Linked DNA regions of Drosophila melanogaster. Changing the gene in region 2 together with the main gene of any one other region gives a genetic interaction. Each region holds a gene or a part of one and is shown on either strand. Other genes may lie near its edges. The genes, in order: Dsk and CCKLR-17D1.

Region 1 (3,318 bases), on a different chromosome or scaffold from region 2:
TGTTTTGGGGATGCGTAGCCTTCACTGGCTTGGGAGATTTGGTTCCTGTTGATGGAACCATGAATCAAGGAAAATATTTAGATGTCCTTAATAATCATGCATTCCCCTCTGGTGATAAATTGATTGGAGAGTCCTTCATACACCAGCAGGATATTGCTCCCTGGCATAAGGCCAAACTGATTACGAAGTTACTGAAAGATGTTGGCGTAAACACATTGGATTGGCCACGTCAAAGTCCAGACCTCAACATAATAGAAAACCTCTGGTCATATTTAAAAAGAAAAAGGAGTGCAAACTTATCTAGAAGTCGCGAAGAAACGATTTTGGAAATTCAAACCTTATATTTCAATAGATTATATCCACAGCTTGGTACAGTCTGTACCAAAACGTCTGCAAAAGGTGACGCTAAGGGAGGGTATATTTTTTTATTAATTTGTCATAATTTTTTTTCAATTTATAAAATTTAAATAATTTGCCCAAATACTTATGCCATTGCTAATTTGTAAGAAAGTGATTTTTGTTAAATCAACAATGAAGTTATCCATATGTTTATGTTACCTCTACATTTAACTACGATAGCCTACCTATTTACTAAAATTATTAAACAATTTTGCTTTAAGTAAACAATAAGTTACAAACAAATATATTGAAAATATTTCTTGTCCAAATACTTATGCCCACTAGTGTATATATATGTATGTACTTCCGTAGAGTGCCGCGACTATTAGATACCGCTTACTCAAATAACTGAAGTGCGACAGATGTGCAATCAGTAGAGACGACTCTTTTCTATTAACTTTTTTAACTTCTATTAACTCTTTTTTCATAGGTTTCTACTAAATCAGATTCTAACAGTTCTTGGAACGTAGATAAGCATTGATAAGCTTAACTTAATATCATTAACGAATACGTTCAGAATGTAGGCAACGGGTATCATAAGCAGAATCTTCAGATAAATTACCCGGCACTTATAGGAGGTCTTATTTCTCAATGTCCATTTTGTAAGCTCTTCGACAAGAATGGTTTTCGCAAAGTTATTGGGGATAAACAATATAAGCACAAATAAGGTATGTATTCCGACCATAAAAACGCGTTGTTTGTCTTATTGAAATCTAATGGTCGGTCTCACCGTCACACTGTTTTGTTTTTTGAACGAACGATACCGCTCCCAAGTGAGAACTGCCGGTTGAAGACTTTGTCGACCTCGAAGTAACAAGTCGACAAAATGTGGTAAAAGCTATCGATTAATGGGTTCATCGAATAAGTAATGAGAAAAGAAAATAACTATAATCGATAGGCTTTTACTTAAATTTCATGACGAAAGTTTCGGAGCAATCGGACGGACAGGGTCAGATCGACTCGGCTATTGATCCTGATCAAAAAATATATACTTCAAATGGTCGGAAAAGGCCTTCGGCATTTTACATACTTTATAGGGTATACTAGCCTTTCAAATGTGTAGCCATTGCAGTTTTGGTCAGCATGCGGGTGTGTAGGGGTCACAAGAGTCTACATGTCCAATGGTAATGCCCATGTAATATACATGATTTTCAAATTCACATTACAAACAAGAAATGCTTGTTTGGGCTTTGCTGATGGGTATCGTGTTAATATCAGTTGGAATCATAGGCATATCCGTTAAAAAACCTCCCTTTTGAATTTCGCATTTGGATTTGGTTCAGATCAGCACTGTCAACCTCATGCCCATATACAATGGTTCACAGCTCAGTTTAACCAAAGACAATAGTATATTCTATTCGCAACAGCTTTTAAAATTTAAAAAGAAATATCTTCTGAACATATCTGTAAGTCTCACACTAGCTCACACTTCTTTGCTGGCAAATTTATAAAAATTTGAATCAGAATGTATTTCCGAATATTAAATTTAACCATGGATATGCGCTTTTTATTTAAAATTGTTTGTCTGGCACAGCTACTAGCCCCCTGATATTATGCTGAAGAATGTTTCAGAAAACCACTAGAGTATACTCGCCCAGCGCCCTAATACAGACGGTTACTCATCATACTTAATTCTTTTAGGCATGCCGTCGAATTCAATTATTGTCAGGACAGCATCAAAGTTAGTTTAATCAATCAAGTCAATCACAAGTCAAAGTCAATTTCTGTTATCTCAACACCTCTAAACACTTGACAGCCGCGGTAACGGAATATTAAACAGGCGAGAAAGATGGCCACAAACGCAATCGTATAAAAAGGAAGCGCCAACTTAGATGTTCACCAGTCTGCCAAGGGCACAGTAAAGCATGGGACCTAGAAGCTGTACGCACTTCGCCACGCTGTTTATGCCACTCTGGGCATTAGCCTTCTGCTTCCTGGTGGTGCTGCCGATCCCAGCGCAGACGACTAGTCTACAGAACGCTAAGGATGATCGGCGACTACAGGAATTGGAGTCAAAAATTGGTGGGGAAATCGATCAGCCCATTGCGAATTTAGTTGGACCATCATTCTCTCTATTCGGGGACAGGCGTAATCAGAAAACAATGAGCTTCGGTCGCAGAGTGCCACTAATTTCACGCCCAATAATACCAATTGAGCTGGATCTCCTCATGGATAATGATGACGAAAGAACGAAAGCTAAGCGGTTTGATGATTACGGCCATATGAGGTTTGGTAAAAGGGGAGGTGATGATCAGTTCGATGACTACGGTCACATGCGTTTCGGCCGATAAACACTTGCCATCAGTTTAGTCATTTAGAAAACCGATTATGTATATTGTACATAGAAATTAATCGAGCACACATTTTATATTAACAAGTATATAAAAAGTAATAAATGTTCGCATTCAAAAATTTAATATTTCGTATTATAGCCGAATTCTTAGAGTAAGCTATGATGGATTCATTGAAAAAAGGATTTTTAGTCCCTTGCATATAGGTGTATTGATTCCTAGCAGAATTTATCACCGCGGTAAAAAGCCTCCATTTATCCGGTATATAAAAAAAGGGCTGCACCTTCAATATATAAAAAGTTTTATTTAATTATTTGTGACGAAAGCATTTGAAAGGTTCTCCGACTTTCGAATTGTGAATACCTTTTAAAGACGCATCGGATTTACTTAACAAGAATTATTGTCGTTGATGTATGTTTCCCTTAGGCCCATTTATATACAGCTGTGTTCAGAAAAATAGCAGTGCTTTGGACTTGAGAGTTTAAGATAAAAATTTCCTATGATTTACAGTTTTAATGGGAAATTTTTTTTTATAATATCATTAGGTATTTAATTTCAAACAATTTAACAAATGTTTCACTTTTATTTCTTCAATAGTTTCGAAAATATAGAATAAAACAACATAATA
Region 2 (4,862 bases):
GGTGGTGTTGGAGGCCAGGAGAGAACAGCGGTTCCGGCAGTACCGAAAACAAACTTGCAGCAAGACAAACAACATCACCAGCACGTCTGAAACGGAAACGCAGGAAACAGGAAACAAGTCATGAAAATGCAAGGAAGGGTGTCAGAAGGATCGGCGAGGGGACGTAAAGGATGTGGAGCAGCTAGCGGAGCTGATGGAGCTGATGGGGGAAAGGGGCTTCGGAACGGAACACTACAAGAAAATCGCGACGTGACGCTGCATAGCAGAGTGATTTTCGCAATATTGCCACGGTTAAAAGCAATTCCAGACTGCTTAGGCTGCGACTTGAGTGCTACAACGCCAAAGGAGCAAGGAACAGGGTAACAGGAGCTGGGTGAGAAGGGTGAGTAGGCTCCCAGATCGACACTGCGTACATATGGAAATTGACCAGAATGCTGAGCAGAAGCAGAGCTCCCGGCAGGCGAGCAATTTGCATTGGAAATGGGGATCAGCCTGGATTAATCTTGCGGGAATGGAGGATGACTGGCCTGGACTGAGCTTCATCATCCGTTTGGATGCGCCTCCAAGGAGTCCTAGGAGGTGAAACAGGTTGAGGACCTCTCCTTACCGTTATGAAAATAATTAGAATGTCCGATGGCATGCACTTTGATTAAATAAGCAAATTAATGCCGCTCGGCTCCTTGAAACCGAAATGCCGATTAGCATTTGTGACAGGTGTCAGGGCCACATTTCTGCTTCATTCTGTTCCACTGCCGCCGACGGGACATGGAATCACGCCGAAGGCGAACCATATCACAGATGGCTGAACCGGGCTCAGCTGATGAATATCGCCACCCACATCACCAACCCTTATCTGAGCTGGAGACACAAATTAATGCCTGGTGAGAATGTTTACCCATCTGACTGGACTTTTCAAGGACCAAACATGAGTTTTGGGCACAGTCATTGAGTTGAAATGGTTTTAAAGAGCTTCCCCCGCATATTTACAGTGTGCGAGTGCGTGTGTGTGCGTGTGTGTGTCGTGTGCGTGGGCCTATTTAATCTTTTGAACCCTTGAGGAACCCAAAACCCGGTGCTCGCTGGTCGGGGAAACCCTGACTGTCGTTACGCAAATGCGGGCGGCCATCATAAAATACGGCCATTCTCAGGCGGATGCAGATTGGGAGACGAGATATAGTGCGTTCTTGCCAACGAAATATGATTTAGGCCATAAATAAGCGCGGAAATTGTGCGTAAAATCGATGGCAGACTCAGTTTTCCTAAGTGGAAAAGTGATGTGCACAAGCGCACAATCTAAAATATACAGTATGGTCATTTAAAACTTATCTTCTCCCCACTACACTACTTTGTATATTATACAATATTAAGCTTAGCTAAGTGATTTCAAAAGGGTGACTTTAAAGAGAATCTCAAAGCATAGTGAATGTACACTGAACGACATCTTTATTTTCTGCCAATCGTCATTTACTTAAGACTCTACTAGGATTTTGTTAAGAACCAATAGCAAGAAATCATCGATGGCCACGCCTGCAGAAAATCCACTTTCATTTCCAGCTAGACGACCCCTTCTTGCCCTTCCCAAAGGTCTCGAAGTATGAAATCATCCTCGAAAGCTTTGGGATGATGACCAATGTGGACAAGTGGCCATCACCCAAGTACACTGGGGATCTGGGGCTACGACGGAACAGCCTTCGTTTTCGACTTGGAATAAACTCCACACGTGGCTATCTGTCTAGACTTAACCATTATTTGACCTTTTCGTCATTGGAGGCCCTAGATGCGGATTCAGATTCATTTGCTGCTGCGGATTTGGGCATGGATGCGGATGCGGATGCTGGTGGTGATGCGGAGGAGGCGGTCGAACGGGACAAACGAATTTGCTGATGGCGACGCCGGCGACGGAAGTACTGGCTCGACACCACCTGAACCGAGTCCATGAATCGATCCATACAGTTGGCCAGGCAGTCGCGCTCCGTGGAGCGCAACTCCATTTCCGGCATAGCGATACATACGTCGAAGCAGCGACGTGTCATCTTCTTTATCAGCTCCTGAATGTTGGCCAACACGATCTGCTGGCGAATCCGCTCGAGGTCGTGCTGGTTCGTGGCCATTTGACAAGCGATTATGGGGCTCGGTCACGGGGATAGGGACTAATAAATGCGGAATTCACAGTTGGAAGTTTGGGATAACCTTTTAATTTGGACACGGACAAGACATAAATGAACTGGCCTACTGGCTTCCACCACTCACCCTGAGCAAACTGGATGAGCTTGCAGAGCAGCTCGCCGAATATGAAATGCCTTAGCAGAGTGCCGACCAGGGTCACCGGCATGCAGAATACGCCGAGCAGGATGTCCGAGATGGCCAGGTTGAGCAGAAAAACGTTCGTGATGGTGCGCATGCGACGATTCTGGACGAGCGTTAGCACCACCAGCAGGTTCCCGACCACGGCGCACAGAAGGATGGCCGAATAGCACGGCACCACCCAGATGGGCACATCGGCACTGACCCTCACCACGCTCCTGTTCCCCGGTGTCCTGACGGTTACAGCTGGCGCCAAGGTGCTGCTGCTGGGAGTAGTGGCTAGGTCCATGTCCAGATTAAGATCCAAATCCAGTCCGAGATCCAATTCCAGCCCGCTGTAGTTGAGAAGATCACCGGGTGTCCCTGTGATGGTGACCCCGTCACCGACAGCGGAGATCTCGTTGCTGGCATTCAGGTGGATCGCAGCCTCCTTGGCCAGCGGCAGCGCCTGGCGCAGGTAGTGGTAGAAGGCGTCAATCGTGAGGCCGAAGAAGGATGCTCGTTTGTGATCCCGGAATAGCACTAGCAATCGGGGACTTGCACTTGCAGCAGTACAACACACTTCGTCAACTTCACGCAACAAAAAATTGGGCTTAGGTCGGGATTGAGTGTCGGCACAGCCGTATGGAGTTCGGGTTCCGCGATGTGTGTCGCGCCTCGCAATCTTCGCGAAGCACTGACGGCAAGCGTCGGCGCTTTTTGTGACCACCAGCCGGCGCCAAGCGACCGCAACATGCTGCCAAAGGACATAGAGGCACAACTCACCACAGGCGCGGCAACATGTTGCCAGCTGGACTTGTTGATATATCGCACGCTGTGCTCGCTGCTTAGTAGTAGCTCTAGTTATATTTTTGATCACGTTTAAGGAACTTCATTTATTACATCCCACAAATCGGCTAAGAGAAAACCATATGAAAAAAGTCGCTAAATCACCCAATTACGACGATTTGTTGTCATCCACGACGATTCAGTGATGGTAACAAATTGGCATCGAAAGAGCGTTGTTAGAAGGACATTAATTCGGAATATATATTTTGACGACTCAATTCAATTGATTGGCAAGATGGCTACTTTGTAGAATCCCTGCATTCTCTGCTATACAAGTAGAATCAGAAGAAGACGGTTCATACAATATAATCTGAACTGAAGATTAGCAATAGGTGTACTTCATTATATCCTATTACATTACATCCCTATTTATAGTTCTTTCCCGTATAGCCAAACCCATTTAGAAACCTACGAAAGTGCCTGAGAGAAGGACAAATCGCTTTCACCGGATAGCATAGCATACATTCGGGGGCAAACGAGATGATTGAGCCCGCACGATGTTTGGCAATCGGTTGAAGTGGCTGGAGTGGCTGGAGTGGCTGGAGTGGCTGGGTGAGTAATTTGCATGTCTCCCCGAGGAACTGCGGAATCAGTGGCTCCTGCCAGAGCGGAAAAGCCAACGAAAGGTCACATTTGTCAACTTAATTAGCGGACCTCCGGTGATTCCGTGGGCCTCCAGCTGCCATCTTCCATCTTCCAGCTTACACCTTTGGCTCATTATTTAAAGACTTTGTCGCCGTTTGTTTGCCTTGCGACCCGAGTTTATAAATCACTTCGCGCCACTGGAGGAGCCATAAAGTGAAACCCGAGTGGTTTATTTGCCACTTCCACGCCTTTGGTGGCCTCAACAGGTTGTGTTGCAAGTTGCAAACTTTATTTGGGCTCCAGTTCAGGCGAGTAATCGACTTTGGTGGACCAAATTAACTGCAGACGGATTCTTTGGCCGCTCAAGCGACCGAAAACTTTCCAACGGATTCACTTTATCTGCAAGTTTCGCATCCGCGCTGTAGAGTGTTCCACCAAAAAATGTGGGTTAACGTTTGCCTAAATTGATTAATTCAATTTGACTCTTTCGGCGAACTTCTCGCGAAAGACAAACTTTGTCGGGCGCATAAATAATGCTGCAACATTAATTAAAGTGGCCAGAAGCGTTGGGCGGATCGAAGTGGCGAGTTTGGGTTTTTTGGGTGTTTCGGTTGTTTTTTTGTCTGGCGGTCGGTCGGTCCGTTGGCACTTTAGCAATCCAGCCTTCATTTTATTTATTTACTTTGGGCTTTAATTAATTTTAATTATTGTATTTGCATTCGCAACGGCTCAGTTGTTGTTTTAAAACTTTATGGAGTAGTGATTGCCGGCCGTTAATGCAATCAGGCAGCCGAAAATTACAGTTGCCATCGCTAATGGCCAGATACGAACACAGATACAGATACAGATACAGATATAGTATGGGTAATCCCAGTGATTGCCATAAGAACAGAGCAACAGAAGCAACAGATACACTGCGAATGCATAATGAGCATGTCGGGGAATGCCCCTGAATAATGAATTAATCGTCCATTTCAGCTGCTAGTTCCCGCGATCCAAAGCCATTTATTACCAAAGACATTTCACCAACCACCCACCCACTTGAAGGACACTACGCCACATTGTCCTGCCTTCAATTCCTTTCTGATAGTCCGAGGTCAGAACTGTAATAAACAAGCTACCCCGGAGTTTGCCAATTGTAAATT

The links.
Region 1: of CCKLR-17D1 (region 2) and Dsk, changing one suppresses a phenotype caused by changing the other (phenotypic suppression), as found in Drosophila melanogaster (one study listed by BioGRID).

What each region holds. Positions count from the first base shown.
Region 1 is NT_033777.3:4,189,180-4,192,497, reverse strand, and holds Dsk (drosulfakinin), read left to right. Parts: upstream 1-2,237; 5' UTR 2,238-2,264; coding exon 2,265-2,690; 3' UTR 2,691-2,806; downstream 2,807-3,318.
Region 2 is NC_004354.4:18,723,487-18,728,348, forward strand, and holds the start of CCKLR-17D1 (Cholecystokinin-like receptor at 17D1), read right to left. Parts: upstream 3,087-4,862; coding exon 3,070-3,086; intron 3,000-3,069; coding exon 2,251-2,999; intron 2,187-2,250; exon of another isoform or gene 2,112-2,186; coding exon of another isoform or gene 1,746-2,111; exon of another isoform or gene 1,428-1,745; intron 1-1,427. Other genes in the region: CG42302 (uncharacterized protein), read right to left, coding at 1,746-2,111.